Linked DNA regions of Stegostoma tigrinum. The protein of the gene in region 1 interacts with the protein of each later gene in a biochemical or structural test. Links are inferred from orthologs where the notes say so. Each region holds a gene or a part of one and is shown on either strand. Other genes may lie near its edges. The genes, in order: pdzd2 and catenin delta-2-like.

Region 1 (16,863 bases):
AACATCCCAGCCTCCACTGTGCTCCATGGCAATGAATTCCACAGGCCGAAGGTCACTGACTAGTGATGTTCCTCAGGGATCTGTACTGGGACCTCTGCTGTTTGTCATACATATAAATAATGTGGATGAAAATATAGACGGGTGGGTTAGTGAGTTTGTGGATGATAAAGATTGGTGGAGTTGTCATGGTGTAGAAGGCTGTCAAAGGATACTGCGAAACAGGGATCAGTTGCAGACATGGATAGAAAAATGGCAGATGGAGTTTAATCTGAGTAAGTGTGAGGTGTTGCACTTTGGGAGATCAAATGCTAAGGATACATAGTTAATGGCAGGACCCTGAACAGCATTGTACAGAGGGATTTTGGGGTTCAAATCCACAGCTCTCAAAGTGGCTACAAAGGTAGATAGCATGATAAAGAAGGCGTATAGCACCCTTGCCTTTATTGGTCGTGAAAATGAGTACAAGGGTCAGTACATCAAGTTGCAGCTTTGTAAGACTTTGGTTAAGCGTCACTTAGAATATTATGTTCAATTCTGGTCACCACACTACAGGAAGGATATGGAGGCTTTGGAAAGGGTGCAGAATAGGTTTACTGGGATGCTGCCTGGATTACAGGGTACGAGTTTGAAGGAGATGCTAGAAAAACTTAGGTTGTTTTCTCTGGAGCGACGGACTGACGAGAGACTTGATAAAAGTCTATAAAATCATGAGACGAATAGATAGGGTTGACAATCAGAACGTAATGGTAGGAAACTAGAATGACCCGCCAGAGGTGGTGGTAGGGGGAGATACAATAGGGGTGTTTAAGGGACTTTTAGATAAGCACATGAATATGCAAGAAATGGGAGGGATATGGACCTAGAAGAGGAGGTAGAAAGGACTAGTCTAATTTGGTGTCATGTGTGGCATAACATCTTGGGCCAAAGGGCTCATTCCTGTGCTGTGCTGCAATTTGTTCTCTCTGTCATTGTCTGGATGTCTGAACTGTCCGTAGAATCACACAGTAGGGGTCATTCAGCCCATCAAGTTTATACTTCCAAAGCTATACTAAATCTACAGTTTCCAGCATTAGGCCCAGAGCCTTGAATCTTGTGACATTTCAAGTACTTATCCAAGTACGTTTTGAAGGGTGTGATGTTAACTGCCTCAACCATCCTACAGGCTGTGTTAGTCTGTCTTTTCCTTTTAGTGACTAATTAATTGTATGCACTTCTCATACTTTCTCTTTTTAATGCCAGAAAATCAACTGTGTGCTATACAAGAAACATGCATTTATATATCATCTTCTGTAACCTCCAGGCATGCCAAAGGAAGTTACAGACAGACAATTAGTTCTTCTGGAGTGCCGAAAATGCCTCATTTCACAGCCATCCCTAAAACAGTATTGCATTCCCACACTCCTGCAAGTTTCATCTTTGTTAATTATGGCATCACAACATAAGTACTGGGCCTGTCTACGCTAAGTAACAGTGATATCTATCAATTCCAAGGTGAACAGTATAACAAAAAGTGAAAATAGAAATGTTAGCTAATTACTCATGGGATAATGATTTCCTATCTGATTTCAGTCATTTAGCTGAAGTTTTGTTTAAACAGGTGACCACAAAGTTAACTGTTGATGTTATTGCTAAGCATCCACAAAAACCTAACATACATGTGTGACCTTTGACCCTGTTCCAGAACATTCATGGGATGTCATCTCAGATCCTGTTAGACTCTACAACTTGCACTTACGTTTTGTGTTAATATTCATCTATCAGGTCACCTTTGGATCTACGGTGATTACTCAACCCTGTTAATCTTTGAGTTCAAAAGTACAGAAGCATCTATTTAATTCAAGCCAGCAGCATGCCAGCTCCACATTACTTTAAGATTTGATTTTCAACTTGCAGCATCATAGCACGTCCATAAGGCCAGCACACTGACATAACATCCAACACAATTTTTTGATGTGGCATACATGTGACTCCAAACAAAATAGCAATGTGGTTGATTCTTAACATCCCTATTGGAAATTAAGGATGGGCAATAAATGCTGACCCAACCAGTGATGCCCACATCCTGGTAATGAATAAAAAATTACTTGTATGCGCACACACACACAGTCAAATAAATTTGATATTCTGCAGGGAGGGGCAAGTAAAATACTGGGGAAACTGTTCAATAACAGCAGGATTCACTGGAGTGTTCCTTTTGTTTCCCAAGACCACCAGTGCTCTGATTTTTTCCTTCAAATTCACACACTTCTTCATAGGAGGCATGGAGCAACTGGTTCACAAGCAATAAAGTCTCTCGCTTCTTGTTTAAAAACAAGAAGTTATGACAACTAAACAAAAAATAAATCATGCTGAAAATCAGAAACAAAAACAGAAAATCCTTGGGAAAAAAACTCAGCAGGTCTGGAAAGGTCACCCCCTCCAAAGCCAGCACATCATTCCTCAAATAAGAGCCCCAAAACTGTTCACAATATTCCAAATGCAGTCAGACCAGTGCCTTATACAATCTCAGCAGTACATTTCTGCTGTTGTATTCTGGGCTTCTTGAAATGAATGCCAATCTTGCATTTGTCTTCCTAAGTGCCAACTGGACCCGCACGTTAACTTCAAGCAAATCCTGAACTAGGACTCCCAAGTCCTCCTGTGCTTCAGATTTCTGAAGCTTTTCCCCATTTAGGAAATAGCCTTCACCTCTATTCTTCTACCAAAGTGCATAACCTCACATTTTCCTAAATTTTATTTCTAAGGAGAGGCAATAGCATAGTGGCATTATCGCTGGACTATTAATCCAGAGACCCAGGTAATGTTCTGGGGACGCGGGTTCAAATTCCACCATGGCAGACGGTGGAATTTGAATTCAACAAATATCTGGAATTAAGGATCTAATGATGACCATGAACCCATTGCCGATTATCAGAAGAACCCATCTAGTTCACTAATGTCCTTTAGGGAAGAAAACTGCCATCCTTACCTCGTCTGGCCTACATGTGACTCCAGACTCACTGCAATGTGGCTGATTCTTAACTGCCCTTTAGGCAATTAGGGATGGGCAATAGATGCTGCCTAGCCAGTGACACCCTCATCCCCTGAATGAAGAAAAATAAAAATTCCATTTGCCGCTTCTTTGTCCACTATCCTAGCCTGTCCAAATCCTACTGCAGCTTCCTTCCTTCCTCAATGCTACTTGGCCCTCCAACTACCCTTGCATCATCTACAAACTCAGCAAACATACCCCTAATTCGTTCTTCCCAGTGAAACAGCATCCCCTCCAATATAACATAATTAAACCATCCACACTTGCTATAAACAGACAAAATAAGTCACACAATTCCCTTCATTTCACCTTAAAGACAGCCCCAGAATGTAAGTTATATAAAACTCAAATGTAACATGAACAATGCAACTTCCAAATTCAGTCATCTGATCTCAGTAAAACTATATTCTTTCAATAACTTACTTCTAAAATGACAACTTAGACATCACAGATACAGTGTATATTGACACTACAATTCTTTCTGCAATCAGCTAAGAATATCTCAGCACCGGAAGAAATATTGATATAAGTTTATGTTATCAATCGATCTGTGTGAAATCTTGAACCCATGTAAAGGTTGCAGCTAGGGCTTGAAGAGGTTCTGTTTTCTAAGCTTGATTTAAATGGAACATATACCTGAAATAAATAAAATTTGTATCTTATTCAATATCAATCAATTTAGTTTCCTGATTCTGTCATTTCAAACCTCCATGAATATTTTTGGTTAAGGGGTAGTTTGAATTTTAGAGTCCCAATAAGTAGGTGCCTACAATTTCTAGAATTCAAACCCTACCAAAATACTTACCAACATAGACAATGGAGAGTCACTGGGTACTCAGGGTCTCAAGTCTTTCTCCAACTGTGTGCATCAGATTTACATTTGGTCATATTTTGAACTGGCTTTTGAGTGCAATTACTTCTAGTTAAACGCAAGTAACTTTTTAAAAAATTCTATTCCATTTTCAACTCACTTGTACCTTGCAAAGATATCTTACACAATGTTTTTAAGGATTTCACACATTTTAATTGTCAACACAAAATAAACACTTGAATACAAGCCACAACATCACTCTTGCCCTTGCCCTGCCATGTCTCATCCAGGTCCTGCCTTGTTTTATGCTTAATAAAATTCACCAAAGCTCCTTAAGCAGCAACTTCTAAGCCTACAACTAATACGATCCAGAAGGACAAGGGCAGCTCCTACATGGGAACACCACGAGCTGCAAGTTGCCCTCTAAGCTACTAACTAGTCAGGCTTAAAAGTATATTGCTGTTCCTTCAGTGTTACTGGGTCAAAATCCTTAACCTTTCTCCCTAACAGCATTTGTGGGTCTACCTACACCAAATGGGCTGCAGAGGCACAAAAAGGCAGCTCAATTCTCAAGGGTACCAAGGACAGGTAGCAAATACTGGCCCCATCAGTGAAGTCCACATATCATGAATGGCTAAAAACAGAAAATAGGAAAAAAAATGAATAGATGGAAAATAGATTAAATTCATTCTGCAGTTGAGATTTAGGAAGTAAAAACTAAATTAATTTAGAAGTACAAAGATTGTACAGCTGAAATCCACACATGCAAGTTTGAAGAAGTACCTGTCCTAAACCTTTGTGTGGGCTTCCAGTTTCAGAGAGTCCCTACTGGTTTTGAGAGCGCGGAATTGTATCACTGAGCACTTCAGAGATTTAAAATTTCCTCAGCAGGCCAAGCAGCATCCAGCTCTACACGTGGTTATCTCAGATATTCCAGTGTCTGCAGATCCTACTATCGTTAAAATTTCCTCATTTGGCTCGGCTCATTAGGATAGATATTTCTGCTACTTTATAATACTTTTTGCACAACCAATTAAAAAACTGCCAGGAATTCCTAGCATCATGCAATTTGGGTCTCATCTTCTCCAAGCACAAGCAGGCTTAGCCTCGTAATTTCTCAACAGTGTACAAAAATGAAAAAAGCAACATCAAACAAGGGGAAATCATAACCAGAACTGAGAAACAGCTACTCAACATTTGATTTTAAACATGAGCAGACTCCATTCACGTCTTTTGTTTAACTACGTTTATTATTTCCTTCATTAAACAGGCTATGAAAATGTTAAAAGACTTAATATCAGCTCGCAAGGTTGTAAATGGGCAAGACATTTATCTCTGTACTTTCCAACTTTGTCCTCTTGCACAAAATTTTTAATTACTTCACCTAAAATTATTTCTGCAGCTGAGGTTTAGTGCCGGCCAGCCACCTGGGGTCAAATCTCAAGCATTTCCTCTTTAAACTTTTCCACTTCTTTCTCTTCCTTTAAGATGCGTTTTACCATCATCTTGGAACAAGCTTTGGTCACCTGCCCTAACAGATTCTTAAATGCTTCCGCATCAAACGGTGGTATATGTTCTGGTGAAAAAATTCGGGCTGTTTTACTACGTTACGGCCCTTTGTAAATTGAACTTATAGCTAGTGAACCAAAACGGACGTAAATCAGTGCTTGGCATCGTCCAGCGACATACTGGAGAGATTTACCTTCAAACTGCACCCAACTGTGACTTAGGAATCACGATTATCAAGTTGCGGATCCCAATCTAACAAAATTTCTCCTCGACAGCTCGTATTTCAAGATAAGTAGCAGCGCAATCCACAAAACAGCATGCGCAACCACCAAGATAAACATAGGCAGGAAAATCTTAATCCTCGGGGATGAAAATAAATTGCCAAACAATCACTTACCTGAATTAATTCACACGGTACTCTCCTTTTTGCTATGCATGTCCAGTTACGGTTTTTCTCAAACACATGACATTATCCTAACCTCCCAACCGTCACTCAAATTTACACACTTTAGATATTGCCACTCCCGGTATTTTTTTTAATCTACTGGTTATGACGAACGCAAGAGAGAGTCGGAGATTTTTTGAACTTTTGGTGTTCCTTGTACACGACCCTTACCTGCTCACTGGAGAACTCGGTGCCCTCTCCTCGCCGCTTGCTCCTGCAGCAGCCGTTCCCGCCCTTCCAATGACAAAACCTGCTGATTGACAGCTCGCTCGGGCCAATCGGTTCTGCGGCCGGTCGGAGCTAGTCCAATGGTAGCAGTGGGGCGAGTCTCCGTGGACCAAGTTGAGCTCGAGCCGTCATCTGCTAGTGACCTGCCAGGATCCGATAGCGGTGGTTCTGCTTCTTCACACAACACAGCCCCCTCTGCCCAAAGCCAACACCGGGTTGTAACCGACTGAATGGCTATCAGCAAGCACGGAGCGGCTGTACATTTAGTATGCAACCTATAATTTATTGTAACATATAATACTGAGGAAAATAAAACGTTTTAATGTTACAGAGATAGTTGGAACTGCCGTGCTGCAGAAGCTGAGATAACAAGGGGTAGATAATAAAATGTGAGGCTGGATGAACACAGCAGGCCCAGCAGCATCTCAGGAGCACAAAAGCTGACGTTTCAGGCCTAGACTCTCTGATGAAGGGTCCAGGCCCGAAACGTCAGCTTTTGTGCTCCTGAGATGCTGCTGGGCCTGTGTTCATCCAGCCTCACATGTTATTATCTTGGATTCTCCAGCATGTGCAGTTCCCATTATCTCTGATAACAAGGGGTAGAGCTGGATGAACACAGCAGGCCAGGCAGCATCAGAGGAGCAGGAAAGCTGACGTTTAGGTTCTGGACCCTTCTGAGGCGTGTTTCTAAAGTGACAATTATTTAAATGTCAGAAACCAGGCAAAGATTAAGTAACAAAACCAGAAATTCTGGAGAAAAATCAAACTACCGGACTCGAAAAGTTAACTCTGCTTTCTCTCCATGGATACAGCCAGACCTGCCGAGTTTTTCCAGCAATTTCTGTTTTTGTTTCAGATCGCCAGCCTCCTCCGTTATTCGTTTTAATCAAAGATGAAGTAAATTGTCGTTACACATTAGGGTGATGGGGAAGGAACAATTTGAGTATAGATTCATGGATGAATTACAGGAAATATGAACTAATCGACTGATTCCTAATTCACAGACCCTAAATTGCAAACTGGTCATCGCAGAAAACTTATTCGCTTTAAAACATTTATTTAGCCAAGTGATTCGGGCTTCAGTTACAGCCCGAGCTGGACAATATAAATCTCCCACAGCCTTCAAAAATGGAAGGTTAACCTTTCTGGTGGATATAAACTTCACAGGCAGCGTCTCTCTGTAACAAAACCTATTTATTTTGCAGACATCAAAGAGCCTGTTGCTGCGCTGCAAGATCCAGCAAAGATCGCAGATGTGGCAGGGTTACCGTGGGAACGTTGACGAGGATCTCTGAAGGATATACACTGCAAACATATCTGCCGAGACTGCATGCGTTTTGTTCAACTCCAGCACTAGGGAACAATAACAAAATAGAGTGCATGCTGAAAAGAGTAAATACAACCTTCCAACGCGTAGTTTGGTATTTCACAACAAAAGAAATTAAACGCTGTCATTTTTTCCCCCAAGTAGATGCTCTACAAGCATGACCCTGCGTTTTCAAAAAATTGGTTCTACTTCTGTGGTCTACTTCGGCTTATCGTGTGGTGGAGATCATTGAATCTCCGAAATTCAACTACTGTAGAACAACGATGTGATAATGGGAACTGCAGATGCTGAAGAATCCAAGACAATAAAATGTGAGGCTGGATGAACACAGCAGGCCCAGCAGCATCCCAGGAGCACAAAAGCTGATGTTTCGGGCTCTCTGATGAAGGGCCTAGGCCCGAAACGTCAGCTTTTGTGCTGCTGGGATGCTGCTGGGCCTGCTGTGTTCATCTAGCCTCACATTTTATTATCTTCACTGTAGAACAACAATTTGTTATACTTGTAGCAAAGTCAAAAGATGTGCAGGCTGGCTAGATTGACCATGCTAAATTGGGTTATAGGCAGATGTGTCGGTGGAGACTTGTTGGGCCGAAGCGCTTGTTTCCACAGGGTAGGGATTCTATGATCTATGGTTTGCAGTATTCAGTATTTTGATTATTTTAAAGCTAGGAATTAAATGAATTGAGCAGTAGTCCAATATTCAAATAAAAATCTGAAACATTATCATCAGCCTCTCGTTGAGTGCAGGCATTCAATTATCCTGGCATCAGTAAATTCCAAGGATGAATTCCATCCATACCAATACTTATCAATAACATCCACTCTTGTAAAAATAAATAGATACTCCAGTCCTCAGTAGAAGCAAAAGTCCTATTAAAAAGCCTAACTGTTAGAATGGCATGGTTAAGTGTTGAATTATACTGTTTCAAATAATTATTGATAATCAAGAACATACTTTCATTGTTTTCATTTACTGGATCGCCCTGGGATACAAAGACAATTCTTCAACTCTTCTCTTCTGCAAACATCCTTTCAAAAATCTTCTGTCCTGCCTCTGCCAATCTTACCTCCAACAGCATGTGTGGCATATTCCTTCCTTAGCAGTAAGGTTGAGACCAAATGATCAGCTTCTTCAGCCATCCTTATCTTTCCCCTATGTCACCAGGCAAACGTAAAGAACACTCCCTGCCCTGGACTTGAATTTGCTCCAGTTTCTCTCCAACCCAATTCCTATCGGTTGTAAAAATAGAAGAATGCTAAAGAAACTTGGTAGGTCTCTACATCTGTTGAGAGAGTAAAACAGAATTAATGCTTTTAGCTCAATTTAACTTCTTCAGAACTCAATAAACTCTGACCAGTCAATATCACTCCATGCTCCCACACAAATGACAAGAATTGACCATCTCCAACAAGAAAGAATCTAATCATTGCTTCATGACATTCAATGATATTATCGTCACTGAATTCCACACCATCAGTTTCCTGGGAGCTACCATTGACCAGAAACTAAACTACACTCGCCACATAAATAATGGCCACAAAAGCATTTCAGAGGCTAGAAATCCTGCAGCAGGTAACTTGCCAAAGCCTGTCCCCCAACGACAAGGCTCAAGTCAGAATACTCCCTACTTGCTTGGATGACTGCAGCTCCAACACCACTCAAGAAGTTTGACACCATCCTAGACAAAGCAGCCCGCTTGAGTGGCTCATGTGCACACATAGCCATTCCTTCCATCATTGACCAAAGTGAAATGCAGAATTTCATCAAGGATCCTTAGACAGTATCTTAAAAACCTATGACCACTACCATCTATAATGACAGGGTAGCAAATATATGAGAACACAAGCACCTGCAAGTTCTCCTCTAAGCCACTCATCATCCTGACTTGGAAATATCTCCATACCTTCAGTGTCACTGAGTTAAAATCCTGGAACACTTTCCCTAAGGGCATTGTGGATCTACCAACAGCATGTGGACTGTAACTGTTCAAGAAGCAGTTCACTACCATCTCTCATAGAATCCCTAGAATGTGGAAGCAGGCCATTCAGCCCATCAAGTCCTCTGACGAGCATCCCACCCAGACCCACCCCCTACTTAGACACTATGGGCAATTTAACATAGTCAATCTACTAAATCCACATAGACACAGGGAGAATGTACAAACTCCAGGCAGAAATTATGAGAGGCTGGAATTAAACTGGGCCCCTGGCACTGTGAGGCAGCAGTGGAAACCACTGAGCCACTATGCTGCAAGATCAGCGAGGATTGGCAAAAAATGTTGGCCCAGCCAGTGAGACCCATATGCCATGATTTTTTTTTAAAATCTTGTCTCATGTTCCTTGGATTCTCTGAAAAGTTCCTTTAAATATAATCATCACTATTCTCCTCAACAAAACACACAACCCCTTCCATCCTTGGAAACCATCAGCCCATCATCAACTTCCAATTGCTCTCCAAAGCATTTGCACATGTTGTTATCTCCCAAATCTGTGTCCATCTTTCTCAAACTCCATGTTTGAATCAATAGTCAATCTCCACCATGCCACAATACTGAAACTGATTTTATCAAAATGGCAAATAACATCCTAAATGATTCAGACAAAAGTTATTTTTACAAGCTTACCCCTCTAGACATTTTGTCAACCTAATAGTGTTCCAGTGAAGTTCAATGCAAAATCCAGGAGCAGCAACTTATCTCCCGCTTAGGCACCTTACAGCTTTCAGACACAATACAGAGTTCAACAATTTCAGACCATGAACTTTGTCGCCCATTTTGATATGTTTTAGTTTTGATTTTCATATGATCACTATGAAACAGAAGGGGAGGCGAAGGCCCAGTAGTATTGACACTGGACAGTTAATCCAGAGACTGAGATAATGTTCTGGGGACCCGGGTTCGAATTCCACCATGGCAGATTGTGGCGAGAGATAATGGGAACTGCAGATGCTGGAGAATTTGAATTCAATAAATATCTGGAATTGAAGAGTCTAATGATGATCATAAATCCATTGCCAACTGTTGGAAAAACCAATCTTGTTTTGCTAATCCCCTTTAGTTCCCGAAAGAAAAACTGTCATCCTTGCCTGGTCTGGCCTACATGTGACTCCAGACCCACAGCAGTGCAGTTGACTCTGAAATGCCCTTGAGGCAATTAGGAATGAATGCTGCCTAGCCAGCAACACCCTCATCCCATGAATGAAATAAAGGAAAAAGAGAACAGGGTTATATTTTGTTCAAACACATTCATTCACTCTGGAAAAATGCTTCGTTTCCTAACTACAGTCTCGAACACTTCATTTACTTTTTGTTCCACGACATCTTTGTTATTGCAATCTTCCCATCCTTTATCCTATTCTTGACCTTCTCGTTCATGCCTTCTTTATCTCCAGACTGGATTAGTCCAATGAACTCTGAACTGATTTCCCAAATTTCATCCTCTATAAACTTGACAACTTCCAAGCCTCTGCTCTATTTGTCCTTAATTGCACCAAGTTCTGTGGTTCAGAAAAGATTTACAGGGATGTTGCTCGGATTGGAGGGCTTAAGCTACAGGGAGATGCTGAATAGGCTAGGGTTATATTTCCTCAGCATCAGAGGCTAAAGGGCAAACTTATAGTGGTTTATAAGGTTATGAGAAGTATGGATATCGTAAATAGACAAGGTCTTTTCCCCAGGATGGCCGGGGGGGGGGGGGGGGGGGGTGGTCCCTGCATATTCAGCCATTAACTTCTATAAGGTCACCCCTCAGCCTCAGAAGCTCAGGGAAAATAGCCCCAGCCTATTTCACCTCTACATATAGAGGTTATAAAATCATGAGGAGCATAGATAGGGTGAACAGCCAAGATCTTTTCCCCCCCCCCAGAGTAGGGGAGTCCAAAACTAGAGGGCATAGGTTTAAGGTAAGAGGGGAAAGATTTAAAGGGGACCCGAGGAGTAACTTTTTCCACGCAGAAGGTGGTGCATGTGTGGAACAAGCTGCCAGAGGAGATGGTGGTGGGGCTGGATAGAATTACAACTTTTAAAAGGCATCTGAGTGGATACATGGATGGGAAGAGGTTAGAAAGATAATCGGCCAAATACTGGTATTTGGGATGAGATCAGTTTAGAATATCTGATCAGCACAGACAAGTTAGACTGAAAGGTGTGTTTCCATGCTGCGTGACTTCATAACCCTGTATTTTGGTGACCTCCATTGGCTCCCTTCTAAGCAACATCTTGATTTAAACATTCTTAATGTTTTTTTCCAAATCCCTCCATGGCCTTATCCCACAGTATCTATGACCATTTTTACAGCCTCAGAACTCTCCAGAATATCTGCAATCATTTAATCCTGATCATTTGAGGTTCTCTATTGACAGATCTGCCCACACATATACAGTCCTTAAGTTCTCAAACTGCTTTCTTAAACCTCTCAATCTCACCTTCCTCCTTTAAGATGCTGCTTACTCAGGCCCAACCTACAGTCATATGCTTATTAGACCTTTATGAGATTTGGTACCAAAGTGTGTTTTATATTGGTCTATTTAAGAATTTAATTACAAATTTTAAATAGAAGGTGCTGTTCTTGGTGTTGGTTTATTTACTTTAAGTGATTTCCATAGATAACTACTTGAGGGTATATTTGTAGATAAGGCTGTTCTCATCAGTGCCTTGTACAACCAAAGCACAACTTCCCTATTTTTGTGTTCCACTTGCTTTTCAATAAATTATAACATTCTATTATCTTGCCTGATTATGTGTAGTATCAACAATCCAGCTTTTTACAATCCAGATCCCTCAGAACCACAGATCTAATCTCTCACCATTTAGACAACATGCTTTATTTTTATTTATCCTGCTAAATGAATAATTCCATATTATTCCATTATACTCCATTTACCAGATATTGGACTACACACTTAACCTAAGTCTTCTGTAACTGCATGTCCTCTTCACAATTAGTTTCCTACCCTTGATATAAGCAAATATGGCAACTACATCTTCCATCTCATGTAAATTGTAAACAGTTGAGATCCCAGCACAGCTCATGTGAAGCCAATCCTTGCATCTTGCCAACATGAAAAAGATACATTTATACCTACACATTGGCTGGTTAACAAGAAGTAATCTTCTATCCATGCTAATAACATCCCTACATCATGAGCTTTTATTTTCTGCCATAACCCTTAACGTGGGAATCTATCATAAACATCTTGGAAATCTAAATACAATACATCCATAGAGTGTGTTGCTTTATCCACAAGAACTCCAATGGATTGGTCAAACATGATTCCCCTTTAGCAAAACCATGTTGAATCTGCATGATTACCTTAATTCATTGCAGCCTCAGAACGCCAGGGATCTGGGTTCAATTCCCGCCTTGGGCGACAGTCTGTATGCAGTTTGCACATTCTCCCCATGTCTGCGTGGGTTTCCTCTGGGTGCTCCGGTTTCCTCCCACAGTCCAAAGATATGCAGGTTAGGTGGATTGGTCATGCTAAGGTGCCCATAGTATTCAGGGGCATGTGGGGGGTGGGTCTGGGTGGGCTGCTTCAACGGGCAGTGTGGATTTGTTGGGCTGAAGGGCCTGTTTCCACACTGTAGGGAATCTAAATCTAATCTAAATGCTGTGCTATATTTGATAATAGCTTCCTATATTTGATAATAGGTTCTAACGGATGTGAGTTTGCTCGCTGAGCTGGCAGGTTAGATTTCAGACGTTTCATCACTTTTTTTATTTGAAAAAATATACTTTATTCATAGAATGTACAAAAAATAAAACATTTATACACCTACCCAGTCATGCAAGCCACTCCAGGTTACCCAGGGGGTAAGTACACCAACTAAAGGAAAAAAGCAAAACAGAGAGAAAAAAAAACAAAGCAAAGAAACCACCCCGGCAGTCGTCACCACGCACAGTCCGCGTTGGCCCTCTGACCAGTTGGGGAAGGCACCAGCTGGGCCCAGTTACCAGATAGGGTTCTTTTTCCTATCCTGGACGAGGGGGTTCATACGGTGGTCTTTCCCCACCGCACCTTGGCGGCGGCTGCCCCAAGCTTTAGCACGTCCCTCAGCACGTAGTCCTGGACCTTGGAGTGCGCCAGTCTGCAACACTCGGTCGGGGTCAGTTCTTTCAGCTGGCAGACCAGCAAGTTGCGGGCAGACCAAAGAGCGTCTTTCACCGCATTGATGGTCCTCCAGGCGCAGTTGATGTTGGTCTCGGTGTGCGTCCCCGGAAACAGCCCGTAGAGCACGGAGTCACGCGTCACGGAGCTGCTCGGGACGAACCTCGACAAATACCACTGCATCCCGCTCCAGACCTCCTGCACATAGGCACACTCCAGAAGGAGGTGATCAACAGTCTCATCCCCCCGCAGCCACCTCGAGGGCAGCGTGCGGTGGCGCAGAGATTCCGGGCATGCATAAAAGGATCTCACTGGCAGAGCCCCTCTCACCGCCAGCCAAGCAATGCCCTTGTGCTTGTTTGAAAGTTCTGGCGATGAGGCATTCTGGCAAACGACTTTGGCAGTCTGCGTGGGGAACCACACGATGGGATCCACCCTCTCCTTTTCCCGAAGGGCCCCGAGGATACTACGCCCTGACCACTGCCTGACGGCCTTGTGGTCAAAGGTGTTTCCTTTCAAAAATTTCTCCACGAAGGACAGGTGGTACGGAACGGTCCAACTACTCGGAGTGTACCGCGGCAACGAGGCCAGGCCCATCCTTCGCAACACCGGGGACAGGTAGAACCTCAGTAAGAAGTGACACTTGGTGTTTGCGTACTGAGGATCTACACACAGCTTGATGCAGCCGCACACAAAGGTAGCCGTCAGGGCGAGGGTGGCATTTGGTACGCCGTTTCCCCCATTTCCCAGGTCTTTGTACATGGTGTCCCTGCGGACCCGGTCCATCCTCGACCCCCCAAATGAAGTGGAAGATGGCCCGGGTGACTGCAGCGGCGCAGGTCCAGGGAATAGGCCAGGCCTGCACCACATACAACAGTACCGAAAGCCCCTCGCACCTGACAACCAGGTTCAGACCCGCGATGGAGAGGGACCGGAGCGTCCACCTGCCCAGCTTCTGCTTCAATTTGGTGATACGCTCCTCCCAAGTCTGAGTGCACGCCCCTGCTCCACCAAACCAAACACCCAGCACCTTCAGGTAGTCTGTCCTGACAGTGCAGGGGATGAAGGAACGGTCGTCCCAGTTCCCGAAGAACATGACCTCGCTCTTACCCCTATTGACTTTGGCACCCGAGGCCAGTTCAAACGGGTCACAGATGTCCAATAGTCTACTCACCGACCGACGATCGGTGCAGAAGACGGCGATATCGTCCATGTACAGGGAGGTCTTGACCTGAAGGTCTCCGCGGCCTGGGATAGTCACGCCCTTCAGGCTCACGTCCTTCCTGATGGAGGCGGCGAAGGGCTCCACACAGCACACGAACAAGGCAGGAGAGAGCGGGCAGCCCTGCCTGACTCCAGATCTGACAGGAAAACTGTCCGATTCCCACCCGTTGATCAAGACTGCGCTAACGATGTTGGCGGAGAGCAGCCGGATCCAATTGCGGATGCCCTCCCCGAACCCCAACTTGGAGAGGACGTCCCTCATGTAAGCACGAGAGACCCTGTCGAAGGCCTTCTCCTGGTCCAGGCTGACGAGGCAGGTGTCCAACTGCCTGTCCTGTACGTAGGAGATCGTATCCCTGATGAGCGTGAGGCTCTCAGCGATCTTCCTGCCCGGCACAGCACAGGTTTGGTCAGGGAGAATCACCGACTCCAGGACAGACCTGACCCGGTTGGCTATGCCCCTTGGCCAGGATTTTGTAGTCCACGTTCAACAGTGAAATGGGACGCCAATTCTTAATTTCTTCCCTCTCCCCCTTCCTCTTGTAAATGAGGGTGATGATGCCCTTCCTCATGGACTTGCACATTTCCCCCGCCCAAAGCGCACTATCGTACACCTCCAGCAGGTCCTGGCCGACCAGGCCCCACAGAGCGGAATACAGCTCGACCAGTAAGCCGTCGCTTCCGGGGGTCCTATTCCTCTCCAACGACTTGAGGCTCTGGTCAGCTCGTCCAGGGATATCGGCCGGTCCAGCCACTCCCTCGTGCCGTCGTCTAAGACCTCTGTGATAGACGACATGAACGACTCGGAGGCCATGCTGTCCATGGGCTTCGTGTCGTACAGTCCGGCATAGACGGACCTGCTGATCCTCAAAACGTCGGGCCAAGACGACGTCACCGAGCCGTCATCCTCCTTCAGCCGGCTAAGCACAGAGCTCTCTTTGTGCACCTTCTGAAAGAAGAAACACGAGCTCGTCTCGTCCTGCTCCACGGAGCGGACCCTGGACTGGAAGATTATCCAGGAGGTGTCCGCGGCGAAGAGCAAGGCTTGCTGGCCCCTCACCTCGCGGAGGTCCTCCGTGACATCGACCCCCATCAACTGCAGAAGGAGCAGGTTCTGCTCCCTTTTCTGGAGTCGCGACAGCTTTCCCCGCCTCTCTCTCGCCTTCCAAACACCCTTGAGGACAAAGAACCTCTTGATGTTCTCCTTCACCGTCTCCCACCAGTCGCCTGGAGACTCAAAGAGGGGTTTCACAGTTCTCCAACCGGCGTACTCCCTCTTAAGCTCCTCGACGTTCTCTGGGGTCAACAGAGTCGTGTTGACCTTCCACGTCCCATTGCCGGCCGGCTGGTCGTCCTGTAAGTGACAGTTGGCCAGCAGGAGGCAGTGGTCAGAGAAGAACACTGGCTCGACGCCGGTGGACCTGACCGAGAACGTCAGTGACACAAAGAGGAAGTCTATCCTTGAGCGGATAGACCCATCTGGCAGCGACCAGGTGTACCTCCGCTGCGCTCCGTCTGCAGGGGTGCTGAAGACGTCAAGCAGCTTGGCATCCTTCACCGTGCCCATCAGGAATCTGGACGTGACGTCCAGTTGACTCCCCCCACCCGCTGTCCCCACGCCGGATCTTCCATCTGCATCGATGATGCAGTTGAAGTCTCCGCCTAGGATGACCGGCCTGGACATAGCCAGCAGGGGTGGAAGCCGCTGCAAGACAGCCAACCGCTCACTCCGTACCGCTGGGGTGTACACGTTGATCAGCCTCAGGGGAGCATTCCTGTAGGTGATGTCAGCCACTAGGAGGCACCCCCCCCACCACCTCCTGAACTTGAGAGATGGTGAAGTTGTGCCCCCCCCGCAGCAGAATAGCCAGGCCCGGGGAGCGACAGTTGTTACCCCCCCGACCAGATCGAAGGCTCACAGGTCCAGGCGCCGGACCATTTCCCGTACCTGCCGAGGTGCGGTATCCCGCACTCCTGCAGAACAGGAGGTCCGCCTTGATGGTGGTCAGGTAGGCCAACGTGGACACACATCTTGCGGTTGACTTGATGCTGCGCACATTAATGCTCGCAACTCATACCCCCATTGTGGGCAGTGACTGCAGTACCATCCCCAAGTCCAAGGTCCAGCCCCTCCATCTGTCCCTTCGTGCCCATTGCCCGGGCTAACTGCTGGACGCTCTCC
Region 2 (16,650 bases), on another chromosome or scaffold:
TTCAGGCAAATAACGCAGGTATTTATAAGATGATGTTAGATAAATCCATAAAGGAGAAAGAAATGGACATTTATTAGTTGGTTTAGAAAAGGAGGTTGAAAGAGATTCTTGGGACATAAAGGTTGGTATGGATTGGTTGGGTTGAATAGCATATTTTGTTCTGTACAAGTTTTCATATTTTTGGTTGCAACTCAACATGCCAGCCATCATTTTATTCAAAAATCAAAACTTCTCTTGAAGTGATTTTTCACTATAATCTTAGAATTGTAGTTATGTCAGGTTTTACTTGTACTGTGTTGTGTAATTTTGCAGACTGTGCTGGCAACTAAGCTGTGTTTGACTTCAGCATGGTTTACAGTATGCATTATTTTGAATATCAAAGTCAGTGCTTTTGCCATTGAATTTCAATACTGACAAATACTTGGCATAATTTTCCGCTACAGCATAACACAGCCATACTGGAAGCATAGGCTGTATCTGTGTGGCATTTTTAAAGCAGTGAAACATCCCTAAACACTTCACAGGAGCATTACCAGGCCAAAATTATACACTGAATCACCGTTATCTCTGTGATAACTCAGGAAGCCCACCTGGAAAGGAATGTCATTTATTATTGAACATCAAAACAGATCCACTACTCAAGGTGTACATAAACAACTGCTAGCCTAGGAGAGAGAGTTTATATTTTTAATCAAACTGTTCAGATGTATTATGATATACCTCAGGAGCAGATGGGTCCTAAACCTGAGGTTTCCTGACTCAGAGGTAGAGACACTATCATTGCACTACAAGAGCCCACTGCACCACAATTAACCTGTTCAGACATTATATGACATACCTCTGGAGCAGATGGCACTTGAACTCAGGTCTCTGGTCCAGAGGTAAGGACATTACCACCGTGCCACAAGAGCCCTTACTGGATTACCAGCCCAATTCCATTACCACTTTACCAAAGCCAATAGAGTTCATAAGTGCATTCTAATTAACCAGTTCTGAGATGTCACTAAACACCTCTGGAAAAGGTGGAATTTGAACCCAAGCCTTCTGGCTCAGAGGTAGAGACATTACCACTATGCCACAGGAGCCACCAATAGATAGTTTACTATACCTTTTTTTTCAAAAAGCAGCCAGTTCAGAGATGTTGTGATGCATTTTTGGAACAGGTGGGATTTGTAACCAAGTTTCCTCACACAGAGGGAAGAAAACTACCACAGCACTATTTACATATATGTATGTATGCAGAAGTGTTATCACACACAACCGGTTTTCCCATCATCAAATTGTTGTGCCATTTTTGTTTTTTAAACTATCAACTACAACCAGTAAATCAACCATGTGTTCAATTTGAAGTTTGCATGCAAAACCTTTAACTGGCAATACAAGCCATCAAAGTGAGGGGGGGCTAGGGAAAGCAGGAAAGAACGAAATCAGAATGGTTTTGGAGGGGGAAATAAAGCTCTGTATCTCCTTGGTGTCCACCTTTCTTGAAAGGCATTAAGAGTATTGCTGGACACCACATGCTGCCTCTCCTCGGACACCTAGCCACAAATGTAACTGTGGAAGACATGCAGATAGTTGGCAGCTCTGACTCACTCTACATTCCATTGCCTGGACATGTTAACAGCCAACCTGGCCAAGTCTAGGAGCAGACCCGCGAGGAGGTCCTTCAATTTACCCATATGCCACTGCACATGATGTGTGTGACTGAAATGCAACCAAAAATGCAACAAAAAGATGTTTCACATGGCCAAAAGTGGGTGCAGTCGCCAATAACCAATACATCCATGTTCCATGAACTCCACAGTGCCACAAAATGAACAGCTGGGTTGGGAGTCAGTGAACCACTACAATCTGCAGTCATATGGGGGTGCTGTATGCCACACGCACCACTCAGGTCTCTGATGGAAAATGTAACAACTCATACTTTGAGATCCCTCCACTGAGGTTCATTTTGTGTCTACTTTATTTTCTTTTAATATCCAGAAATGTTATCACAAACAACTAAACGATTTTCCCCCCACCCAATCACCATGACATTGTTTGCCCATGCAGCCAACTAGAAGTTTGCAATGCAAAGCCCATTATGAGTACTGTAAACCATCAACAGCGAAGAAGGAAGGTAGAGCAGGGTGAGTGGGATCCTTATGGCCTTCTTTCTGTTGGATGTAATATTAGACAACAATGTGAAATCACCCAGATGTGTAAACTAATTGCCGAATAGAAATGAGTGGCCCCATACCTTTTCATGCAATACCTATCTTTACCTGCCCTCAAGCCATAACTTTGTTGAAAGCTTCCCTTGATATCATTAACCTATCACCAGCTCTGATGAAAAACTTGAGCATCAAACCTTACTGACATGATTGAATATAAAGACAAGCATGTTGCAAACGTCTTAAATCTATTTGATCTAAGTTAAATTTTCATCACTTAAAATGTGAGCGTAATATAAATACACTAAAGTTATCACTTATTACTTTCTTGCCTGTGCCTGGTGTCTTTCTACTTTGAGCTCTCCTAGCCTTTTTCAGTTTCTATCTATTTCTATTCTGTCCAATTCCTCCACCACTTCTGTGCTGTGACATTAAGAGCATTATCATATTCACTAAATACAGATTGAAATTATTTAGTATTGCAAACATATCCTATGCTTCTGCAAGATTGATTCTTTCTTTAGGACTGTAATCTGGCTATGCTTCCATTGACTATCCTATTATTATTCATATATTTATAAATGACTTTGGACTCTGTTTTATGTAATCCATTAATCTGATCTCTCACATTCTCACATTTAATTGATCTATGTAATTGATTTGCCCACACTTCCTTTATGCTTCAATAAAAACATAATTTTAATCGATAAATTTCTGTTTATATTCTGATGTATAATTAGTCCTATGTGTTCAGTAGGCTCTGGTTGTAAATATTGGCCCAAATATTATTCCACTGGGAGGAGAGACCCTCAAATGACCATATGTCTTTGACAAGTGTTGGGATCCTGACAAAGTCAGGCATTTGAAGCATGTTGGAGGTTAAGGAGGAAGGAGAAGACTGTAAAGATTGAGGAAGAAGGGGGAATACTGTTGAAGAGTAAGCGAGGGAGAACACAGTTGGCGAGTGAGCAGGGTATGGGTAAATACGATCAACAATGAGAGCGGGAGGAAGAATACTAGCGAAACATCTGTGCTGAAGTTGACATTGGAAGATGCAAAGGTTCCAGTGTGAAGCAGAAAGTGGACAGTTTCAATTACACTCAGCATTAGGTGCACTGTCTCCACTGCTGACTGGAAGATGTGGGCCGAATGATTTTGTTTTCAATCATTAGGCCTACCCTCTGGTTTCCTCTGGTCTGCAACACCTGAGTACAGTGCCATCACATCATTCTCAATTGGAAACATTAGTTCCTCCAACTTTGAAAAGCTGTTGATTTCAGAACCAGCTTTAGGACTAAAAGAACATAATCCAAGTTGAAAGTTGCATCAGCGCTGAGAGCAGGTGGTATCCTTAAATGAGACTTTACGCCGAGCTCAGTTGGTTAATGTAAATCCTAAAATATCCCACGAAGGAAATCTTGGAACTTCTGCAGTTGTTTTAGCCAACAATAAAAATCAGGGCCTTATGTATCCTCTGTGATTTCAGGACACCACTCCTGCAACCCCTTCACAGCAAGTAGCTAGCAATAATTACAACAGATAACTCCATCCATATGATCAAAGTCCTGCAGTGCAGTTGTGATATTTGATCTTCCAGCATATTAATCAAACCACCATTCATGTCTGCTGCAAAGTATCTGTCTCCAACGCAGGATGCTATACCAAGTTGATTTTTGTTGCCCAGGAACGGGCCTTAACAAGCTAAATATTTCATTAAAATGAGTAGGTAAAGGATTTTGATAAAGGAAATAAGCAAAATGTTTCTACCTGTAGGAGAGTTGATAACAGGAGACCATTATGTAAGGTAATTGAAGCAAAGGAAGTGTGAGAAGAGAAGATTGTCGTGCATGCTTCAAGTTCTAATTGGCTGAATACCATTTAACCATCTTTTAATTCATTCGTGAAATCTGGGCATGTGACCAGGCCAGCATTTATTGCCCCTCACGAGTCAACCATATTGCTATACATCTGGCGTCACATATAGGCGAGATAAGACTAGCAGACTTCTTTCCCTAAAGGACATGAATGAACCAGACTGGTTCTTATGACCATTAACAGTGATTAAGTGGTATTTTCCTTTATTAAAAATTGAATTCAGACTTCTCAATCAACCGTGATGGGATTTGAACTGACTTCTCCTGAATGTTACCTTGGAGGTTCTTTTGATTTATTTATTTGTGGGATGTGGTCATCGCTGGTTGGGCCAGCATTTATTCCCCATTCCTAGCTACCCATAGGATGGAGTTGAGCTGCCTTCTTGAACTGCTACCATTCAGGTACTGTGGGTTGACCCACAATGCCGTTAAGGAGGGAATTCCAGATTTTGATCCAGCTACAGTGAAAGAATGGTGATAAATTTCCAAGTCAGGATGGTGAGTGGCTTGGAGGGGAACTTGCAAGTCGTTTCTTGATGGAAGTGGCTGTGGTAATGGAAGGTGCTATCTGAAGATCTTTGGTGAATTTCTGCAGTGCACCTTGTAGATAGCACACATTGCTGCTACCGAACGGTGGAGAATGCTTGTGGATGTGGTGTCAATCAAGCAGGCTGCTTTGCCCTGGATGGTGTCAAGTTTCCTGAGTGTTGTTGGAGCTGCACCCATCTAGACAAGCAGGAGTTATTCCATCATACCCCTGACTTGTACCTTTTAAATAGTGGACACCGCCGAGGAGTCTGGAGCTGAGTTACTTGTTGCAGTATTCCAGGCTACTGTATTTGTATGGCAACTCCAGTTGATATTTTGCAACTGCACTGCTAGCCCAGTGACATTACTACTGTACCACCACTTCACCAATGATTAGCTCCTGAAAGCCTTTATCACACGGCGAAACTCTAGGACAAAAGTCTTTTTTTTCCTTCTTTCCCAGAGTTAGTGTAACACTTCTTTGTACCTATGCCTGTTCCAGAATCTCAAACTCCAAGATTTGGCCTTCCCTCCGCAGATACCAAACAAACTCTATTCTGCATTAACCCCAAGTAAATTTCATTCAATAGCTGACATACTTTTGTCTGCTAAGCTTCACCTTACCCCATTATTGCACTGGCTAGGCTTTTTGATCTGATTAGCTCAAAACCCTCTTTTATGGACTTACCTCACATCCCCTTTATTTCCTGCTGTAGCCAGAGGTTTGAGTTCACACTGTCCGTCCTTCTGCATCCCAACATCTGAAACGGGATGCTATAAAGTCCATTTTATGTTGAAAATGTTAATTGCTGCTGAATAACATACATCAATTACTGCCAACAGGATTCACAGAAATGTAAAGTGTTAGTCAATTTTGGAAGCTATTCAAGTGACCATGGGTGGCACGGTGGCTCAGTGGTTAGCACTGTTGCCTCACAGGGACCTGGGTTTGATTCCAACACCAGGTGATTGTGTCGAGCTTGCACATTCCCCCATGTCTGCGTGGGTTTCCCCCGGGTGCTCCAGTTTCCTCCCACAGACCAAATATACGCAGATTAGGTGGATTGGCCATGGGAAATGCAACATTCTAGGGGTAAAGTCGGGGGCTTATGGGTGGGATACTCTTCTGACGTTCAGTGTGGCCTTGGGGGGCTAAATGGCCTGCTTCCAACCTATAAGGATTCTATTATCCTATGTAATAAATTTCTGGTGAAAGTCGCTGTGAAGGAACCATTTGTTCTGAGTGATGACTGATTTTGATGGATTTATTTTGACACTCAAACAAGAACTTTTAAGAATGTAATGATGTCACCTTTGAGCCATTTTGTCTGCACTTAGATGATGTTCTCAGAGTCTAGCCATGATAATACATTGCGATGCCAGCTAGGTGCCATCACCGTGGCAACCTGCTTGGTTGTTCCAAGCACTTGCAATGATAGCATTGATGCTAGCTTCACTGCATACAGAATCTTAGAAGAATCTGAGAAAAATTAAACCGTTAAACAGAACAGTGAATATTTTTTCTCTTCTTGTTATTCCACTCCTCCTCCTTGTTTGTTTCAATAAACAAAGGGAACTAATGTGCAGTATTTTCTGTGAAGACCCTGGATTAATGTGCACACTTGAAATATCAAGGCTGCTATTTCTCCTTCAGTTAATGGTCATGAATTTGCAAATGCTTACAGAACCCAAAGAGCTACCAAATTCAAAATTACCGACAAAAGTGCAACTTTTAAAATCACAAGAATGTTCATATTAATTACAAGCCCTGTTTCATTGCTTAGCTTTAAAGGAATGCTGGTGTTGAGATCCTGATTTTTGTGATACTTATTATTAAATAATGTGATTGTAGCTATAGCTTGCAATCACCAGAAGCCATACAATTTCGCGCCCCAGCCTATTTTTAAAAAAATGAAAATATCTAAATGTTTGACAGATTTAGCTGCAATTCAATAATCTCTTCTCTCAAAGACTAAAGTGAGTGGATGCTGTGGGGAATTAAGTGTTGCACTGTGCAGCAGAAGAGAGGGTGCACTTTGTGAGATTAAGAAAGGGCTGCATCTAGATTTAAATTAACACAGGGGACTGTTCTAAAATAATTGAAATCCTTGAGTTGTTATTTCTCTTTCTCATCCTATGCCATCTTTCCAATTGATAATCACAAAACTTACGTAATAGGAACATCCTGGAAAGACTATGTCTGACTCTTTCCTGTTGATACTTTCTATCTGATTGCCAGCTTGCCGTGTCATTGCAGGGAAATAACATTGACTTTAATGTATGTTCAAATTATAGTACAACACTCTTAGGCTATTTCTTGATTATGCCGAGATTCTCAACTGGCCAGTAGTGTCCTGCTGACTTCACATTGTGACTTTCTTGGAAGAAACCAGCATGTGTCAATATAAAGCTATGTTCATAAACCCATTTGTGCTGCCAGCAATAATTTGCAAATGGTTGAGGCACAAAAGATGGTTAGGCACTAAACATGGCTTTGCACAATTTCTGCCTCCACCTAATTCTTCTGTCATTTTAGAGATGTTTTCTTAAGGGTAATTTTTAACTTGGCTAATGGTGTAGATCAGGTAATATCAGACTTGCTATGTGTTATGCACCTCCCCTGGGAATGAACACTTGGGAGAACTATGCAACCAGTTGCAGCTTCAACATCATCTGTCCTATATTACTGGCAAGTAAAATTACTCATATTATCCTTAATGTCCTGCAGTAAAAAATATGTTCTGCAAGGGCATGAATGTCTTGTGCTAAGATGTTGTGTACAGTGGTGAGTAGACTTCACGGAACTGAAAGTATAGAGATCAGTAAACCCAATAATGCAGACCCCTCAAACATTTTCATCCATTCATGTTCATTTCTCAAACCTACCGTTGTGTTTCAAACCTAATTTCTTAAACTGGCTGCCTGTTGGGTGCATAGGGTGAATGCATGTTCTGTAAGAATTGCAGAAACAGCAAATGCCCACAACCCAATGCTATTTGATTACTTTTAACCAACGTGCTACACTTAAGATAGTCCACTTTACTTGAGGTCAGAAATTTTTGCAACCAGGTTCTCCAGTGATGGGATTAACAAAGTTTGTTCCACCTTATGTATCCCAAAATGGGCACTGTGCAAGAACATTTAAAAGATACAAAAAGGTTTTTGGGTGCATCAATGTCTATCCCATTTGCTAATGGGATACCTGCTAGTGAGTGACACCTGGAATTGTGGCTTTTCCAAAGCTCCTTAGATGTGAGAGCGTGGTTAATTGTGCAGCCAAAGTGAAATCCTGTCTTAAAAATCTAATCATCCCCGTTCCAGGAAACTAGCTAGTATTCTGATGAGAATGAGGACAATGGGCTTGAAATCCCATCCTGACCCTTATACAGAGAAAATCAGAGAAGGGGAACTAAAAGCCCTTGGTCTTTAAGAATGATATCACAAGTCACATGAGTTGAAGCATGACTGATGTACTTTGATAACCTTCTCAATAGCAGCAGTGTTGTCAGCTGTTAACATTTAAAGGCCAGTGCACACATGAAAGAAGCTGAAAATAGTAGCCATTTCATTGTCAGATTAAATTCATGGACGGCTTCAACTTAACTTGTTTGAAAAGTTTTCCATCTCATGGTAGGTTTTCATTTTCTATACAGCTCAAACTTGGAATCTTTCGTGGCGTTTGATGGTATTCTTTGTAATCCAAAGATTTTATCAAATGTTATGACTTTGATGCTTACTCACAGCAGATGATAAGATTGTGTAAACATTCATCAGAGCATAAAGTTTGGAGTTGAAACAAGCAGATTTGAAATTATTAAGCAGAAAGAGATTGAATCAATAGTGGCTGGTCATACATCTATGAGAGTATTCTCAATTATCTTTTATGCTGCAGTTGTGAAGATCCTTATTAGAGAAGAACGGCTGACACAGTTGAGTAAGACATTAACATCTTCCAACATGTATAGCAGTAAGTTCTACAAAAGTGACCTCTTATTTCAGCTGATCTTGATGACAACTTTTCACATCTTTGTGCTGAAGAGATTTATTACAATTGGAAGGCAATGAATTTCAATGAAATATAGAACATTACAGCACAGTACAGGCCCTTCGGCCCTCTATGTTGTGCCGACCTGTCATACCGATCTCAAGCCCATCTAACCTACACTATTCCATGTACGTCCATATACTCATCCAATGGCGACTTAAATGTACCTAAAGTTGGCGAATCTACAACCGTTGCAGGCAAACCGTTGCATTTCCTTACTACTCTCTGAGTAAAGAAACTACCTCTAACATCTGTCCTACATCTTTCACCCCTCAATTTAAAGCTATGCCCCCTCGTCCTCGCCGTCACCATCCTAGGAAAAAGGCTCTCCCTAACCACCCTATCTAACCCTCTGATTATTTTATATGTTTCAATTATGTCACCTCTCAACCTTCTTCTCTCTAACGAAAACAGCCTCAAGTCCCTCAGCCTTTCCTCGTAAGACCTTCCCTTCATACCAGGCAACATCCTAGTAAATCTCCTCTGCACCCTTTCCAAATCTTCCACATCCTTCTTATAATGCGGTAACCAGGACTGTACGCAATACTCCAAGTGCAGCCGCACCAGAGTTTTGTACAGCTGCAGCATAACCTCTTGGTTCCGGAACTCGATCCCTCTATTAATAAAAGCTAAAACACTGTATGCCTTCTTAACAGCCCTGTCAACCTGGGTGGCAACTTTCAAGGATCTGTGTACATGGACACTGAGATCTCTCTGCTCATCTACACTACTAAGAATCTTACCATTAGCCCAGTACTTTGCCTTCCGGTTACTCCTACCAAAGTGCATCACCTCACACTTGTCTGCATTAAACTCCATTTGCCACCTCTCAGCCCAGCTCTGCAGCTTATCTATGTCTCTCTGCAACCTACACCATCCTTCGTCACTATCCACAACTCCACAGACCTTAGTGTCGTCTGCAAATTTACTAACCCATCCTTCTATGCCCTCTTCCAGGTCATTTATAAAAATGACAAACAGATAAAAATGACAGCCAGGGCATCTTTATACGGTTACCATATATACACCATTTATACGACTTTCTCTGATCTTCATTTTGTCATGGGAAGGTGTGATCAATGCCTGGTGGGAACAGCAATAGCACAACACTAGAAATTTCACTATCATTCGTTGGGGATGAATAGCACTTCTGTCGCAGTCAAAACAACAAGAGTTGTGTAAAATCTGAAAGGGGACACCCATTCAGTTTTTCTGTTGCCCACTTTGCTTAGCACCTTTCCTGTCAGGAATTCAGCACATTAAGGATCATATTTTGCTGCTTTAATCCTGTAAAATCCCATGGTTGCTGCTATGTGTGATATCTACCCTGAGAAAACTCTTCTCATAGATACATAGAAAATAAGTACAGGAGTAGGCCATTGGAGCCTGTGTCACCATTCAATATGATCATAGCAGGTCATGCAATTTCACTAACCCACTCCCGCTTTCTCACCATACCCCTTGTTCTCTTTAGCTGTCAGGGCCACGTCCAGCTCCCTCTTGAATATATCTAATGAACTGACCCCAACAACTTCCTGCAGTAGAGCATTCCACAGGTTCACAACTCTGAGTGAAGAAATCCTTCCTCATCTCAGTCCTTACCCCTTATTTTTAGACTGTGACCCCTAGTTCTGGACTTCACCAACATTGCTAACATTATTCCTGTCCAGTCATGTCAGGATTTTACATGTTTCTATGAGATCCCCCCTTCATTCTTATAAATTCCAGTGAGTTCAAGCCTAGTCAATCCAGTCAATTCTTCATATATCAGCCCTGCCATCCCAGGAATTACTCTGGTGAAACTTCACTGGACTTCCTCAATAGCGAGAATGTCCTTCTTTAGACTTGGAAACCAAAATTGAACACAATATTCAAGATGTAGCCTCATCAAGTCCCTGTATAACTGTGGCAAAACATCTCTATTCCAATTCTCAAATAATCTCCCTTTGAAGGACAACATGCCATTAGCTTTCCTTACTGCCTGCTGCATCTGCATGCCAGCCTTCAGCAACTGTTCCACCATGATACCCATGTCTCGTTCCACCTCATCTTTTCCTAAGCTGCCACCATTCAGATAATCTGCCTTCCTATTTATGCCACCAAGGTAAATGACCTCACATTTATGCACATTATGTTGCATTTACCAAGTATTTGCCCACTCAGCCATGTTGTCCAAGTCATCCTGCAGCCTCTTAGCATCCTCCCCATAGCACACACTGCCATCCAGCTTAGTGTCATCTGCAGATTTGGAGAAATTCTTTTGCTTTCCTGCTTTCCTTTGTCCAAATCATTAACGTATATTGTGAACAGCTGGGGTCCCAGCACTGAACCCTACAGTATCCACTTGTCACTGCCTGCCACTCTGAAAAGGACCCATTTATTCCAACTCTCCGCTCCCTGTCTGACAACCAGTTCGCTGTCGACATCAATACATTACCTCTGATACCATGTGCTTTAATTTTGCTTACTAATTTCTAGTATGGAATCTAGTCAAAAGCCTTTTGAAAGTCCAGTTTCACAACACCCACTGATACACCCTCGTCCTCTCAACTTGTCGCATCCTGAAAAAAGTTCCAGAAGGTTTGTCAAGTCTGATTTCCCTTTGGTGAAAAGCTAGTTCCAAAACTAATAGACCACTAATTTGGTATAAAAGTTGTATTTTATAATAAAGCATTTCGAACTCGAAGCAGCCATTAAGCTGCTCACCAAACTGGCATATTCGTCATGTGTGCAAATCTCTGTGCTTGTGTCTCTCTAGGATAGGTACGTCATTTATCTCTCCTCTCTAGATTCATTGTCTTTTGTATTACCAATGATTGAGGGTGGAAATTTAGTAGTTTATGACACCGGCCAAAGTACTGTTATTATTAAATTCCAGTTTGTCAGGTCAGCTGTGGCAATAATGCGAACTGAATATATTCCATTTGGGGTGACTGTGAGCTAGTTGGAAGCTCGTATCACCAAAATTCGTTTCCATGACAAGTCATTCTTGACATTGCCTGTACAGTTCTCCATTGGTCTTCCTCAGCGTGGTATTCCATATTCCTCTGTGTGCAGACTCGTGAAAGGTGTTAGTGATTTTCATTCTTGAAATGTGCCTGAACTATCGCAGTCATCTCACTTGAATTTTCTGTATAGGTATTGTATATCCAAGTTTTTTGTTGTATTATGGTGCTTGATATAACATAAGAGACAATGTTAGTTATCTCAGTTATCTTTTTCTCTTTATGCTTTATATTTGCTCAGAAAGATATTTTAGCTTGTGTTTCAAATGCAATTGCAAATTAAACACCCATTCGAAGATGCTCGGCAACTATTCTAATTGCAACTTGCCCTTTCAATGGAACAGGTTCCTTTTGAAAACTTGTATCAAAAAAATTACATCGTATAAAAGGTAAATGCCTTTATGGATGAAGCTTGTTTTTTTGAAATTGGCTGTGGAAATGGAATAGAAATTCTCCAGAGTGCTTTTTTCTGCCTATTGATTTTGTTTTGCCTATTAACCTTGTAATTTTTCTGTTTATTTGTCTATCTCAGGAAATTGCAAGGTTATGAGTCAGGGAGTAGGGCTTAAAGGAGTTTTTAGTGTTGTGAGAAGGTCTATGCTGAGGGAGGGAGTGTGGATGGAGATACCAGGCTCACGTACTGCTGTGTTGTGATGTCTTTTGATGTAGAAGTACCTGTGAAGTCAGGAAGATGGCAGTCCTGAATGAGGTCAAGGGGAATGGCCTTCTATCAAAGGGTCCTGGTGGAGAAAGTCAAGGACAGCCTTCAATACCAGTCCATATCTGCACCACCCCATGCACCATGACCTCCAGGTCCCTGCCCGCAAAGGAGTACAACAATTTTCCACTGTCTGCTATGTCCGTGGCAAATATCATGAACTATGCAAGGCTGCTCTAACTAGACGTGTTAGTCTGGGTGCACAACTACCTTGTAAAGGTGGCACTGGAACCAGATACATCCCAGATGTGGTGAGTTGTTCCCGGTATGGTGAGTGGGAGGATCCGATGGAATTCCGCCACAGCGGCAGGGTAGATAACTAATGATATGAGATTAGGAACCCAGTAGGCCTCAAGGCAGTAATCGCTTCATGACCTCAAAAGCCAAAAGCCAAAACAAACCTAAGATGCAGCCCAATGTTTCATCTTGTGGGAGACTCTATATTTAAGGATCACTGTGTGGAAATAAGAGATCATCTATTTAAGACGGTGATTTAAGAGCTTTTGCACAGAGTGTTATGTATCTGTTGATCTCCTTTTGTGACAATGTGGAGTTGAAGATAGAATCCGATCAGCCATGATCTTCCTAATGGCCGAATGGTCTCAAGGGATGACATGGTCTATTCCTGCTGCTGATGCGTACATTTGTATTCAGTTCTGATGAAGAGTCACTGGACTCAAAATGTTAACTCTCCTTTCTTACGACAGATTTTCCCAGACCTGCTGAGTTTCACCAACAATTTCTGTTATTTTTTTCAGATCTCCATTATCCACAGTTCTTTGTTTTACATTCATTTTCTTAGTTCACCTTTTGGTATTCTGAATTTTGGCCAAATCTACTTGAGGTGCTGAGCCCTCACAAACTTTAAAATTCTCTCCCCAAGTTCCCGCACCCAAAAATTAACATATTTATTCAGTGATGAGAACTCCCTCAAAACATACCTCTGATTGGATCTTGAATGGACCATCCACACACACAAACTTTCCTATTCTTGATTGTATTTGATTCCCAGTCAGTTTCTACTGCTGCGAAGTGACTGCCTGAGGTAGGAAAATAAACAATAGATACCCAGGATAAATAATAACTAATGATAATAATAACATTATGTTGTGGCTGTACATGATGTTGGTGAGGCCCCTTGACGGGTACTGTGTCCAGTTCTGGTCTCCATTATAGGAATGATATTATTAAGCTGGATAGGGTTCAGCAGAGATTTACCAGGATGTTGCCGGGAATGGAAGGTTTTAGTTATTGGGAGAGACTGGATAGGCTGGGACCATTTTCACTAGAACATAGGGGTTAAGACGTGATCTTATAGGGCTTTATAAAATCATAAGGGGTATAGATAAGGAGAATGGCAGGTCTCTTTTCCCTAGAGTGGAGGATTTCAAGATTGGTGGAATATTTTTAAGGTAAGAGGGGAAAAATTTTAAAAAGACCTAGGGACAATTTTTTTTAACACAGAGAATGGTTCGTGTGTGGAATGAACTTCCAAAGGAAGTGCTGGCTGTAGGTACAGTTACAATGTTTAAAAGACATTTAGATAACTACGTGAATAAGAAATGTTTGAAGGGATATGGGCCAAGTGCAGGCAGGTTGGACTAGTTTAGTTTGGGATTATGGTCAGCATTGGTTGGACCAAAAGTTTTGTTTCCCTGCTATATAACTCTTCGACTTTAAGAGAAATGTGCTTTGGAGATAGTATTCTGTTACATGATGAGGTATGGAATTGAAAACTGTTGATATTTTTGTACTCACCTTGTGACACACCCATCCAGGATTTGCAATAGATTTCTCTTACTGAAAATGAAGAAAAGCAAAAGCATACTGATGGTGGAACAGTGATCCACAATGATGACCTATCACGCCAGGAACAATGTATTATGACGTACAAGGCATTGCCATTTCACAGACCAATTTGGATAGGCCAGAGGGCTGTTTCCTCTCTGTCATTTTTGTAAGTTCACATCATTGTAAAAGACAATTGTTGCTAGAACAGCCATGTTTCCATAGCAACTCTTTGCTTCCACTCAATCAGCAAAGGAAATGCAGAAAAATTACTGAATGTGCAATCACATACTATCCTTGGGTAAAGTCACTATGCTGAGGTGGAAGACTATAATCTAATTGCAGTGATGTTTATAAACTCCCAGACTCTTTACAATGCTTTTTCTGGTTTAACTTTAGCACCTAGATTTCCAATGACTGAAATATAAAGTTCCCACCTCTGTTTTGAAGTCCTCCATGGTGTTGTCCCACACTCTCTTGCTGCACTGTCCTCCAGCCCACCCTAAAGTCTGATTTCTTTCAATTTTGGTCTTTTATGCACCCCACCAATCTCAGCCTAATTTAGTGTCTATGCCATCAGCAGTCTAGGCTATTCCACTGCTTTGGATTTCCATTCCTAAGCGTCTCCACCTTCCTCTCACCCTTTAAATTCACTAAAGTCATCTCTCTGACCACGTTTCTGCCTATCATCACTCCCTGCTTTGATGTGGAGGTGCCAGTGTTGGATTGGAGTGAACAAAGTCAGAAATCACACGACACCAGGTTATAGTCCAACAGGTCTGTTTGAAAACACAAGCTTTCGGAGGACGGAGGCTCTGAAAGCTTGTGATTTCAAATAAATCTGTGGACTATAACCTGGTGTTATGTGATTCCTGGCACTCTCTTCTTAGCATCTATTTTTGTTCCATAATGTTTCTGTGCACACAGAGTATTTTTGGACAGTAAAGGGTCTAAATAAATGTAAATATCATGTTGTTGTCAATAAATGTGTGATCAAACATGTGAGGATCCTTTGGGTGGGCTTGCCTAATTGAACTGCCAAAGTCCTATAATCAATGCTTACAACATATTTCTCCCAACATGTTGATCCATAAAGGGGGTGGGGGGGTCAGAGGTTGTTTGGGACAGACGGGAAGGTGAAGTTGAAGCCACAATCAGATCAGCCATATTCTCATCGAATGCAGAACAGACTCAAGAAGTCCAGTGGCCTACACCAGCTCATACTTCACAAGTTCTTGTATATGAAGAAAAACATAGATTGGTTAAGGCCCAGTACGAGACCATTCAGCCCATTGTGTCTGTGTCAGCTGTCTGCAAGAGCGGAGCTCATCCCACTCCCATTCCTTTTCCTGTTTAGTCCTGCAATTTCTTTTCCAGAATTCCTCATCACCTTCCCCCTGTCCTATCTCCCCAAGCCAACCTCAAGGCATATATCTGTCTCTGGCAGGAGATATCTAAATGTGACAAATCCATAGGGAAAGTTTGAAATTGTTACAATGCAATTTCTGTAGTTGTGTCCATAAATCATGTAAAGATACATTGGATATCACCTCTCTAAAATGGCCTCAAGGCTTGTAAGTATGCAATGCCTGCCTATTTGTCAACGTTTTTCATTTATTAGTGAGAATAATACTTGTGATAGTTTAGCTTTCATTGTATGCTGTAGGCAATCTCAGTTAATAATCTGAAAGTCTTTCAAATGTGCATGATGAAAGACAAAAAGATCCTTTTAATTGGCTGATTTTGCTCTTCATTCAAGTTGTAATGACAAATTATAGGTAATTTTTCAAAGGTATGCGCTCTACCCTTCTACGAAATTGCTAATCATTTCAGAACTGTACAGTTCTTGTACAAGAATGGTCTCTCAGAACAGTTTCAAAGTCTAATTGCCAGTGAATAGAAATGTGATGCTGTGCTGAATTTGCATGGTATTATTGCTGCTAATGTTGTTTAGGTCAGGTCAAACAATGAATCCAAGCAGATTACTCTCTTTAAACTCTGTCATTTTAGCAAATTAGTTGTTTTTGCTGCCTGAATAGGTGCTTATTGATGTCAGTGTGCATTACAGCTTTAGTTTCTATCCTGGATAGACACATGCAATTTGAATACTCAACAGCTTGAGAGCACAGGTGGCACAAAAACAATAAAAATGTAAAATTTTACAACAATTTAAAGTCGTAAAATTTATGTACAAAGAAGTGATCATCAAACAACATTTGACAATGGTAACTTTTATTCCATTCAATAAGACTATAAGATATGGGAACAGAATTAGGCCATTCACCCCATCAACTCTGCTGTGCTGCTCGATCATGGTTGTTATTTTTGTCAACCCCATTCTCCCTATAACTTTTGAGCCCCTTACTAATCAAGAATCTATCTATGTGTCTTACATACGCTCAATAATTAGGCCTCCACAGCCCTCTGTGATAATGAGTTCACAGATTAAGCACCCTATGGCTGAAGAAACTCCTCTTCATCCCAGTTTGAAAGGGTTGTGCCTTCACCCTTAGGCAGTGCTGTCAGGTCCTAGTCTCTC

What was found.
Region 2: the proteins of pdzd2 (region 1) and catenin delta-2-like form a complex in vitro, tested with the Homo sapiens proteins (2 studies listed by BioGRID and IntAct, with this or other methods). The link is inferred for Stegostoma tigrinum from reciprocal best matches to the Homo sapiens genes PDZD2 and CTNND2.

Annotation. Positions count from the first base shown.
Region 1 is NC_081354.1:140,704,800-140,721,662, forward strand, and holds the start of pdzd2 (PDZ domain-containing protein 2), read right to left. Parts: upstream 5,999-16,863; 5' UTR 5,968-5,998; intron 1-5,967.
Region 2 is NC_081355.1:24,919,005-24,935,654, reverse strand, and holds the start of catenin delta-2-like, read left to right. Parts: upstream 1-8,102; 5' UTR 8,103-8,139; coding exon 8,140-8,185; intron 8,186-8,447; coding exon 8,448-8,522; intron 8,523-16,650. UniProt on the Homo sapiens protein: Has a critical role in neuronal development, particularly in the formation and/or maintenance of dendritic spines and synapses. Involved in the regulation of Wnt signaling.